Linked DNA regions of Macaca mulatta. The protein of the gene in region 1 interacts with the protein of each later gene in a biochemical or structural test. Links are inferred from orthologs where the notes say so. Each region holds a gene or a part of one and is shown in the gene's direction. Other genes may lie near its edges.

Evidence for each region.
Region 2: the proteins of DNAJC3 (region 1) and THAP12 form a complex in vitro, tested with the Homo sapiens proteins (2 studies listed by BioGRID). The link is inferred for Macaca mulatta from reciprocal best matches to the Homo sapiens genes DNAJC3 and THAP12.

What each region holds. Positions count from the first base shown.
Region 1 is NC_133422.1:90,496,121-90,501,962, forward strand, and holds part of DNAJC3 (dnaJ homolog subfamily C member 3), read left to right. Parts: intron 1-1,644; coding exon 1,645-1,750; intron 1,751-1,834; coding exon 1,835-1,955; intron 1,956-5,842. UniProt on the Homo sapiens protein: Involved in the unfolded protein response (UPR) during endoplasmic reticulum (ER) stress.
Region 2 is NC_133419.1:76,759,550-76,765,391, reverse strand, and holds the end of THAP12 (52 kDa repressor of the inhibitor of the protein kinase), read left to right. Parts: intron 1-2,367; coding exon 2,368-4,298; 3' UTR 4,299-5,208; downstream 5,209-5,842. UniProt on the Homo sapiens protein: Upstream regulator of interferon-induced serine/threonine protein kinase R (PKR). May block the PKR-inhibitory function of DNAJC3, resulting in restoration of kinase activity and suppression of cell growth.

The sequences.
Region 1 (5,842 bases):
ATTTACTGCACTTTGTTTAACCATTTATCCATTGAAGGACCTGAGGTTGGGAGTTCGAGACCAGCCTGACCAACACAGAGAAACCCTGTCTCTACTGAAAATACAAAATTAGCTGGGCATGGTGGCACATGCCTGTAATCCCAGCTACTGCAGAGACTGAGGTGGGAGAATCACTTGAACCCAGGAAGCGGAGGTTGCGGTGAGCCGAGATTGCACCATTGCACTCCAGCCTGGGCAACGAGAGCGAAACTCCGTCTCAAAAAAAAAAAAAAAAGTTTTCTGTTTGCAAGTCTGCCCTTTTCAGGTCCTCTGGCTAGAGACAGCAGCCTTCTGCAGGTTTTTGTTACTGTCGTTCTGTACCTGTTGGCATTTCTGCATTGCTGGAATCTTCAGCTCCAAGTCTGGGATACATGAGATGAAAAAAGGAACCCAGGGAACTTCTTACCATGTTTTTCCTCAGGTCCTGAGTCACTAGCTAGTCTGTCTTCTCTCCTCCTTTGAAAGTTTTCTATTTTAAAAAATATACATTTAATTTCTAGGGTTTTTAGTTGTGCTTAGCTGGAGGAATTGGGAAAAATACATCTATTCCACTTTCCCAGAAGCTGGCTTTTTTGCTTTTTTCTTTTACTTTAAGTTCCAGGATGTATGTGCAGAACGTGGAGGTTTGTTACATAGGTAAACGTGTGCCAAGGTGGTTTGCTGCACCTATCAACCCATTACCTAGGTATTAAGCCCCGCATTCATTAGCTATTTGTCCTGATGCTCTCCCTCCCCTTGCTGCCTGCCCCACACAGGCCCCCGTGTGTGATGTTCCCTTCCCTGTGTCCATGTGTTCTCATTGTTCACCTCCCACTTATGAGTGAGAATATGCAGTGTTTGGTTTTCTGTTCCTGTGTTAGTTTGCTGAGGATGATAGAGAAGCTGGCTTTTATTTTAAATGTTTTAGTTAAGCCTGTGTTTTAATACATCAGCATATTTACATATGAAGATTGTAGCACATTGGGAATAATGTGCCACCATGGCATAGAAACATATTTTTTAGTTTACTATTGTTGAGGAAAATAACTGAGTATCTATAACAGGATTAGTACTTTTTACTGGTTTGAAGAAAATGCTGAAATAGCTTTTATTCTTAGAAAGCTTATACAGTTGGGAATTTAATCAGGTACCTTCTGTATGAACTACATTGTACTTTGTTGTGAATACTGACATTAATTATATAAAATGGCACTTAATGGGTTCCGTTATTTTCATGGAAGTGTTTACTGACCAAGAAATAAAACTTGATCTCTGTATTGTTCAATGTGCTCAGTATAAGTCAGACTTCAACAGGGTATTTTACTCAGGTTCGGAATTCTGAGCTTGTTTCTGTAAGGAAATTCTTCTGGTTTGATTGGTACTTACAGGTATGCTTTGTTCTGTCCATCTGCATCTCCTATGGTCAGATGTTTTTATTTCTTAACTCTTAATTATGGAGTGTACCTTCTATGGGACTCTAGATTAATAAGGGAAAAGCCAAATCTGAAGCCGTGGCCTCATCCAGTTGGATTGATTAAGCAACACATGGTGAAGAGGGGAGGAGCCTTTCTACAGCTCTGGAAATCGAATGTCATTGTTTCTTATCATGATTTGCTCATTTCTTAGATACACAGATGCTACCAGCAAATATGAATCTGTCATGAAAACAGAGCCAAGCATTGCTGAGTATACAATTCGTTCAAAGGAGCGGATTTGCCATTGCCTTTCTAAGGTAACAGTTGACTTGTTCCCAGAAATGTGAAAACTCATCATGTGGAATACCAACCATAAATCCCTTTCTCACATTTCCTTTTAGGACGAGAAGCCTGTTGAAGCTATTAGGGTTTGTTCTGAAGTTTTACAGATGGAACCCGACAATGTGAATGCCCTGAAAGACCGAGCAGAGGCCTATTTGATAGAGGAAATGTATGATGAAGGTAAATCTTTAAGGAATTTGATTTGCAGTACCGAAGTGTTGATTAGGAAATTATCACATTTTAAGCTTCCTTTTCCTTAAAACAAGTTTACCGGAGTACCTGGAAATGGTGACGATTTAGAAAAATGGCAGAGAGCTTGAAAATTACTCTTCCATAGTGGAACCTGAAAGGTATACCATGGGAGGAAAGAGTTCTGCCATTGAAACCAGTTCAGTACAATAGAAAAATAAGTATTTTAGCTTTTTTTTGTAGAAAGTTAGGAAAAAAATAAAATAGAAAATTTAAATGTAGTTCTCATGTCATCCAGAGGTAATCACTGTTCATTTTGCATTTATCTTTTCCAGCTTATGTCTATGCACATACATTACTCTATATTTTATGCACATATACATATTCTCTCTCTCTATATATATATACACACACACACACTCGGTGTGTATGAAACATATATACAGAAAGCATACATATATGTCATATATCCCTAATATAAAATGATCCTCTGTGACCCCAAACTGTGTAGTAAAATAGGACAGTTGCTGCCCTGTTTTGTTCAAGCCGAATGAAGTAACAAGATTCCTGCTAGATGTTGTGAGGACCTTGGTTAAAAGCAGTGTCCTGTTTTTGGAAGAAAACTGTGGCGTATATAGTAATATATAGTTTTTGAAAAATAGAATCCATATATATATATGGAGATATATATATATATAGTTTTATACTTTTTTTCATGTGACACTAAGTTATGAACATTTAAATGAAACAGTTTTTAAAAAAATAGCGTTATAAGCCCTTATTGCAAATATTTTGTTTCAAATTCAGATAAAGCATTTTAAATCAAAAACTAATTTTCTCTTATAGTTAAATGAAGGGTTTGAATGGTAAAATTTGGTTTGTGATACTCTTTTTAAGGCAAAACTGGTCAATCTATTTTTCCCTGCTTTCCTCAATTAGAAAAGAATCTTGCTCCTAAGCAAGTTCCCGGTTTCCAGGGAATGATAACAACCTGGTCACTACTATTCCTGTGACATCTTGTGGGGGATTCAGACCTTGAGGTCTCTGAATGAGGCTTGAAATGAATGCAGTCAAAATGATGTTTTAATATTCATAAGCATGCTTCAATAAGGCAGGTAGTCCACATAGAAAATCCCTTTAGCACACTCGTTCTCTTTCCTTTTGAGCCACCGTGTCTACTCGCTGAGATGGTTTTACTCTAGGATTTTGCATTCCAGTTAGTTTTTGGAACTCTTTATCAAAGATACTTTTGTCATCTGTATGTAAACCCTTAGCTCTTACTGCGAAATTAGAGAAGCTACAGAAGAATATAAACAGCTTAGCTGTTAAAAAAAAAAAAAAAAAGAAGGCTAAATCTTGTAGAATGCTAAATATAATTTGAAAGATGCTTTTGAAACTTGAATGTTAAACTGACTTGCTTTTTGGGGAAACCTGATGGCTTAATTCTGGAAGAAAAAGATGCTTAGTGCTAATTTGATATAATTGATCTGGTTTCTTTTTTTTTTTTTTTGGAAATGGAGTCTTGGTCTTTTACCCAGGCTGGAGTGCAATGGTGCAATCTTGGCTCACTGCAACCTCCGCCTCCTAATTGCAACCAGTTCTTCTGCCTTAGCCTCCCGAGTAGCTGGGATTACAGGTGTGCACCACCACGCCTGGCTAATTTTTGTACTTCCAGTAGTGATGGGGTTTCACCATATTGGCCAGGCTGTTCCCGAACTCCTGACCTCAAGTGATCTGCCTGCCTTGGCCTCCCAAAGTGCTCGGATCACTTGGCCCTGCCCAGTTGATCTGTCTTTGAAGCCTGTTGTTTCCTTGAAAAAATTCTTTTGTATAGGAATTTATTAAAGAGAGAGAGAGAATGGTTGCCAGCTCTCTAAATTTGCAAAAGAAAGAAAGGAAAAGAGCCTGTATAATTGAAACTGACAAGTATTACCTGACTCGTTTGGATTGGAATCAGGGGTTTAGTAAATGATGTAAATAAATAATAATCTTACTTAACTAAGCTAAATAACAGTATGTCTTCAGTTTACTTGAGTTAGAAATATGCTTTCCATATTCTTCTTCCTGGTTTTACCTTTTTTAAATAAGCAATTAAAAATGATGGCAGGTACATAATAAAGAATGAATAGGTTTAGGTTAGTGAATAATGGAACATGGACGTTTATTAATTTGGGGCTTAGAATTATCAGGAAACATATCGGGATATCACTCAATAGAAAGGAAGTAAAGTAAGACTGTTATTTGAGGATGCCTCTGAGATCTTGAAAAATCAAGGGAAATTCTTTATCTCTGCATGTCTCCGTTTTAATAGCTTTTGAGAGGAAGAAACTGACATTGAAGCAATACGAAAATATTGACAAATTCCTTTGAATATAGGGGTAACACAGGTGTCCTTAGGAAATGATCAGTTATATTTTGCTAGAACTTTAGCTGTGTGAGGGCAGAGACCTGTGGCTGTTATATTAACTGATGCATTCCTGGTGCTTATGCTGGCACTCATGTTTGCTGAATGAATGAAGGTAATTTATTTATTATACAATGAAGTCATAGTGGAGAGTAGGGAATTTAGAATTAGTCCTGCCTTTGAGTCTGGCTTTGTGCAGTTATTCTATTTTTTTTTTTTTTTTTTTTTTTTGAGATGGAGTCTCGCTCTGTAGCCCAGGTTGGAGTGCAGTACCGTGATCTCGGCTCACTGCAACTTCCGCCTTCCGGGTCCCAGTTCAAGCAATTCTCCTGCCTCAGCCTTCCGAGTAGCTGGGATTACAGGAACTGTGCCACCATGCCCAGATAATTTTTGTATTTTTAGTAGAGACAGGGTTTCACCATGTTGGCCAGGCTGGTCTTGAACTCCTGACCTCGTGATCCACCTGCCTCGGCCTGCCAAAGTGCTGGTATTACAGGCGTGAGCCACCGTGCCTGGCCAGTTATTCTATTTTTTGTTTTTAATTCTGGTAAAAGATACAATATAAAATTTACCATCTTAACCATTTTTACATGTATAATTTAGTAGAGTTAAATATGCTCACATTGCTGTGAAAAAGATCTTCAGAACTTTTTCATCTTTCTAATCTGATCTCTGTACCCATTAAACAGCCGCTCCTTTTTACCTCTCCCTTAACCCTTGGGAACCACCGTTCTGCTTTCTGTCACTATGAATTTGACTATTCTAGATCCTCATATAATTGGAATCATATACTATTTGTCTTATTGTGCCTGGCATGTTTCACTTAGCATAGTATCCTCCAGGTTCATCCATGTTGTGGCATGTGACAGGATTTCTTTTTCTTTTAAGGCTGAATAGTATTCCATTGTATGGATATCCCACATTTTGTTTATTAATTCATCCACTGATGAACATTTGTGTTGTTTCTGCCTTCTGGCTATTGGAATGGTGTTGCTATGGATATGGGTGTGCAAATATCTCTTTGAGACCCTGGTTTCAATTATTTTGGATATCTACCTAGAAGTGGGATTGCAAAATCATATGCTAGTTCTTTTTTAATTTTTTGAGGAACCTGCATACTGGTTTCTGTCATGGTTACACCATTTTACAATTTTACTAGCAGTGTATAAAGATTCTGATTCTTTCACATCCTCATCAACACTTTTTTTTTTTTTTTTTTTTGAGACAGAGTCTTGCTCTGTCAGGCAGGCCGGAGTGCAGTAGTGCAATATGAGCTCACTGCAGTCTCCACCTTCTGGGTTCAGGTGATTCTCCTGCCTCAGCCTCCTGAGTAGCTGGGATTACATGTGTGTGCCACCACACCTGGATTTTTATTTTTATTTTTTTTAATTTTTAGTGGAGACAGAGTTTTCACCATGTTGACCAAGCTGGTCTCAAACTCCTGACCTCAAGTGATCCACCCGCCTCAGCCTCC
Region 2 (5,842 bases), on another chromosome or scaffold:
GAATTATGTCACCAAAGGACGAGGGCTAGAAGCTGTTTTTCTTCTTGTCAGTTATTAGTTACTCCTCCTCCTCTATTTCTTCTTCCTATTGCTGTTGTTATTAACATAGCATTTTATTGAGTGCTTACTGATGCCAAGTCATTATTCTAAGTGCTTTACTTGTATTAATTCATTTTATTCTCACAATAGCCTTGAGATAAGTACTGTTATTTCCCTCTTCATAGATGAGGAGATATGGACTTAGGCAAAGAGAGGGAAAGGTGTTCTGTGCATGAAACAGGGTGGTAGATTTGGGGAACTACACTCATTTTAGTGTTGTTAAAGTTTGTGATAACCCATTATGGTTAGAAAATGAGCCTGGAGAGGACCCCAAAGGCCAGAACTTGCAGACTTGTGGGCTGTTAGCAATAGGAAACCACTTAGGGGTTTGTAAGTAGGTGATAAGAGGGACCTGATTTCCATGGTACATAGAGTACTCTGTTGGATTACAAAAGGTAACACTGGAGGCAGGGAGGCCAGTTGGGCTGTCAGCTGACCAAATAAAAGTTGAAAGGCCTTGAATTAAGGCAATGGTAGAGAGAGTAAAGAGAATAGATTCAGGGAACTTAAGAAATTTGTATACCTATGACACCTAGGAAAGATGCCCAAAAGAAGAGGGACTTGACTTTTCACTTTGTACTCTTTGCTCTTTAATGAACTTCTTTTTGAAAAAAAATAAAAGCAAGGGAATTAGTACTAGTTAATTGGAAGTAGAGAAACAATGGAGGAGAGAGGGAGAGAGCCAGACAGGCAGGCGTCCAGGAAAACCTCTTGCTTTCTGGCTTGGGAAGCTTCCCTAGAATAGAACCACTGCTGTGTCACGTATGATGAATAGCAGTGTCATCTGATTTGAGGAGGGGTGAGGGAAGGATGCTCCCTGCATTTTGCTGAACCCTTATTAAGCTCTGAAGTATGGCTCACACAGGCTCCAGTCAGACTAGATTTCCCTTTGTACTTGGACAGCCTGCTTCCCTCTTCTACCTTAGTGCTTTTGCTGGAATAATTCTCACCAACTGAAATGCCCTCCTTGTTCATGTCCCTCTTATTTATCCTTGTCATCAAATGCAACTTCTGAATTTTTGTTTCTCCCTGCCGCCCTCCACAGTCTTTTTTCTTTTTGAGATGGAGCCTCACTCTGTTGCCCAGGCTGAAGTGCAGTGGCACGATCTCGGCTCACTACAACCTCTGCCTCCCGGGTTCAGACGATTCTCCTGCCTTAGCCTCCCGAGTAGTGGGAACTACAGGCACATGCCACCACGCCCAGCTAATTTTTGTATTTTTAGTAGAGACAGGGTTTCACCATCTTGGCCAGGCTGGTCTCAAACTCCTGACCTCATGATCCACCCACCTCAACCTCCCAAAGTGCTGGGATTACAGGCGTGAGCCACCGCACCTGGCCATAGTCTTATGTTCTAAGAACTAGGTTTTAACTGTGACTCCTCAGATTTGGATTATTTTCCTGCAGACACCAGTGACCTGTATAACTATGGACAGGGCATTTAGCCTGTAGGGCCTCAGTTTTCCTATCCCCTATGAAGAGATTAGGCTGTGTGATATTCTAATACTAGCCCTAAGAATTACATTAATCTCCTTTATATTATACTGGTTTGTACAGTTGTCCCATATCTCCCATATAAATGTGTGGCATCATGGTTTGATAAAAACAGCATCAGCATGGACCTTGGAGCAAGACACACTTGGATTTCAACTTTACTTCCATTCTTCTAACTGTATTTGTGATCTTGGGGAAGTTTACTTAGTGTCCTCATTTGTCAAGTGGGGTTGATACCACCTGCCTGAAGAGAGGGTAATGTGATGCATATAAAATACTAAGCACAGTAGTTTAGTAATTAGTTCTGTCCCACTTTGTTTTTCTGAGGGCATGGACTGTCATTCATTACATATGTGGAATGTCTTGTTAAGTGTGTTTTAAAAATTAGGCTGGATGTGGTATCTCACACCTTTAATCCTTGTACTTTGGAGCTGAAGTGGGAGGATCACTTGAAGCCAGGAGTTCAAGACCAGCCTGGGCAACATATTGAGACCCGCTTCTTCTTCTTAAAAAAAAAAAAAAAAATTATTCCTATCTTATAACAGCGTTTACATCTAGGATTAAAATATATCTGTTTATACTGTCTCTCCCACTAGATTGTGTCTTATCTTAGTGTCTTATTTTAATCTCTATCTTAGTCTGTAGTCTAGTAAATGCCCTATGAATATTGAATGAATGAGTTTGTGGATTTTAAATATTTAACCAAAGGTGTAATATTTTTTGTTTTGTATGGTTTTTCTTGAGCCTGTTTGTAACATTAATTCTTTGTTTTCCAGTTGATGAAACTTCTGAGCAGGAACAAAAACATAAAGAAACCAACAATAGCAATGCTCAGAACCCCAGTGAAGAAGAGGGTGAAGGGCAAGATGAGGACATTTTACCTCTAACCCTTGAAGAGAAGGAAAACAAAGAATACCTAAAATCTCTATTTGAAATATTGATTCTGATGGGAAAGCAAAACATACCTCTGGATGGACATGAGGCTGATGAAATCCCAGAAGGTCTCTTTACTCCAGATAACTTTCAGGCACTGCTAGAGTGTAGGATAAATTCTGGTGAAGAGGTTCTGAGAAAGCGGTTTGAGACAACAGCAGTTAACACGTTGTTTTGTTCGAAAACACAGCAGAGGCAGATGCTAGAGATCTGTGAGAGCTGTATTCGAGAAGAAACTCTCAGGGAAGTGAGAGACTCACACTTCTTTTCCATTATCACTGATGATGTAGTGGACATAGCAGGGGAAGAGCACCTACCTGTGTTGGTTAGGTTTGTTGATGAATCTCATAACCTAAGAGAGGAATTTATAGGCTTCCTGCCTTATGAAGCTGATGCAGAAATTTTGGCTGTGAAATTTCACACTATGATAACTGAGAAGTGGGGATTAAATATGGAGTATTGTCGTGGCCAGGCTTACATTGTATCTAGTGGATTTTCTTCCAAAATGAAAGTTGTTGCTTCTAGACTTTTAGAGAAATATCCCCAGGCTATCTACACACTCTGCTCTTCCTGTGCCTTAAATACGTGGTTGGCAAAATCAGTACCTGTTATGGGAGTATCTGTTGCGTTAGGAACAATTGAGGAAGTTTGTTCTTTTTTCCATCGATCACCACAGCTGCTTTTAGAACTTGACAATGTAATTTCTGTTCTTTTTCAGAACAGTAAAGAAAGGGGTAAAGAACTGAAGGAAATCTGCCATTCCCACTGGACAGGCAGGCATGATGCTTTTGAAATTTTAGTGGAACTCCTGCAAGCACTTGTTTTATGTTTAGATGGTATAAATAGTGACACAAATGTTAGATGGAATAACTGTATAGCTGGCCGAGCATTTGTACTCTGCAGTGCAGTAACAGATTTTGATTTCATTGTTACTATTGTTGTTCTTAAAAATGTCCTATCTTTTACAAGAGCCTTTGGGAAAAATCTCCAGGGGCAAACTTCTGATGTCTTCTTTGCAGCTGGTAGCTTGACTGCAGTACTGCATTCACTCAATGAAGTGATGGAAAATATTGAAGTTTATCATGAATTTTGGTTTGAGGAAGCCACAAATTTGGCAACCAAACTTGATATTCAAATGAAACTCCCTGGGAAATTCCGCAGAGCTCACCAGGGTAACTTGGAATCTCAGCTAACCTCTGAGAGTTACTATAAAGAAACCCTAAGTGTCCCAACAGTGGAGCACATTATTCAGGAACTTAAAGATATATTCTCAGAACAGCACCTCAAAGCTCTTAAATGCTTGTCTCTGGTACCCTCAGTCATGGGACAACTCAAATTCAATACGTCGGAGGAACACCATGCTGACATGTATAGAAGTGACTTACCCAATCCTGACACGCTGTCAGCCGAGCTTCATTGTTGGAGAATCAAATGGAAACACAGGGGGAAAGATATAGAGCTTCCATCCACCATCTATGAAGCCCTCCACCTGCCTGACATCAAGTTTTTTCCTAATGTGTATGCATTGCTGAAGGTCCTGTGTATTCTTCCTGTGATGAAGGTTGAGAATGAGCGATATGAAAATGGACGAAAGCGTCTTAAAGCATATTTGAGGAACACTTTGACAGACCAAAGGTCGAGTAACTTGGCTTTGCTTAACATAAATTTTGATATAAAACACGACCTGGATTTAATGGTGGACACATATATTAAACTCTATACAAGTAAGTCAGAGCTTCCCACAGATAATTCTGAAACTGTGGAAAATACCTAAGGGACTTTTAAAAACAGGCTTTCTTATATTTGATACTTGGAAGAAAAGCCGTAAGGTGTATGTAGGCCACTTAATCACTAAATATCTTTGCCTATAGGACTCCATTGAATACATTAGCCATTGGTAATCTACCTGTTTAAATGGCCCCTGTTTTTGAACTCTCATGCTTTGAAGACCTACCTGTCCTTCCAGAAGAGAACATTGAAAGTGCCATGTTTCCTTCTGTGTGATCTCTGTTGACGGCACTCTGGAATTGTTTTAGTTAAGTCATTTTAGACATAGCATTTATTATCACTGTGGCTCTCTACTTGTTGGGTGTTATGAATTCTTTGAAGAAATACATTTTGAAGAGGTGTGGGAGGAAGGAATACATTTTATAAAATGGTATAGTGAAGCCCACAATTGATCTTTGACTAATAGGAGTTTTAAATGTGCTAAAAATCTATACTGGACAGTTACAAGAAATTACTGGAGAAAAGCTTGCGAGCTCGCCAAACAAGGATTTCAGTGTAGATTTTGTCTTTCTCGAACTTAAAGGAACAAATGACAAAGTTTGAATGGAAAGGCCTGCTGTTGTTCCACATCTCATTGTTGCTGTTTACATTCCTTTCTGGAGCCTACATCTTCCTAAGCTTTTTAGCAGGTATATGTTGAACACTTCTGTTTCATGGTTGAGACAGAATCAGAGGCCATGGATACTGACAACTGATTTGTCTGTTTTTTTCTGTCTTTTTCCATGACTCTTATCTACTGCCTCATCTTGATTTATAAGCAAAACCTGGAAAACCTACAAAAATAAGTGTTGTGGTTTATCTAGAAAAATATGGAAAATATTGCTGTTATTTTTGGTGAAGAAAATCAATTTTGTATAGTTTATTTCAATCTAAATAAAATGTGAATTTTGTTTAAAGCTTAGGCATATTATTTTTGGTGGGGTCAAAACATTCTTGTGTAAATTCTCTTAAAAAACTTTTGATAAACTGCTTCACAATTCAAGATGAGTCTTTTGTATGTGGTTTACTAATTGGGTTATAGAAAAAAACAATTAAGAAAGTATTAAATGTAAGGTTCACCCAACTAGGTGTTTTTTTTTTTTTTGATGTACTGTGTGGGCCCTGATATAAATTGTCAGTTTGTCTTATTATTGCTGGCTAAAATGAATGCAGAGGTGTTAATGAATTATTTTATGTTGGGAGTAAGTGTTCCTTGAGCTTCAGAAACCAGAGTGGTGTGTATTTGCTGGACTGCTGAGAATGATAGCTCACAGTCCATTTCTCTGTCCTAGGAAAGCCCACAGACGTGTCAAATCAAGACACATTATGCATGCAGCTTATCAAAAAGGTAAGAGTTTATCTTGTAGCCAGGGCTCTAAGAGATGCCTCTGTCCTTGTCAGAAAGAACTGATCAAGTTCATGATGGCAGGATGACAATGAAGGAGACACAAAGCTGGTGTTTCAATATATTCATCCTGTTCTTAGGGCACTTAAGAGTGGTGTGACCTTGGCAGGTTATTTAACCTGCGTCAGTTTCCTCAACTATAAAAT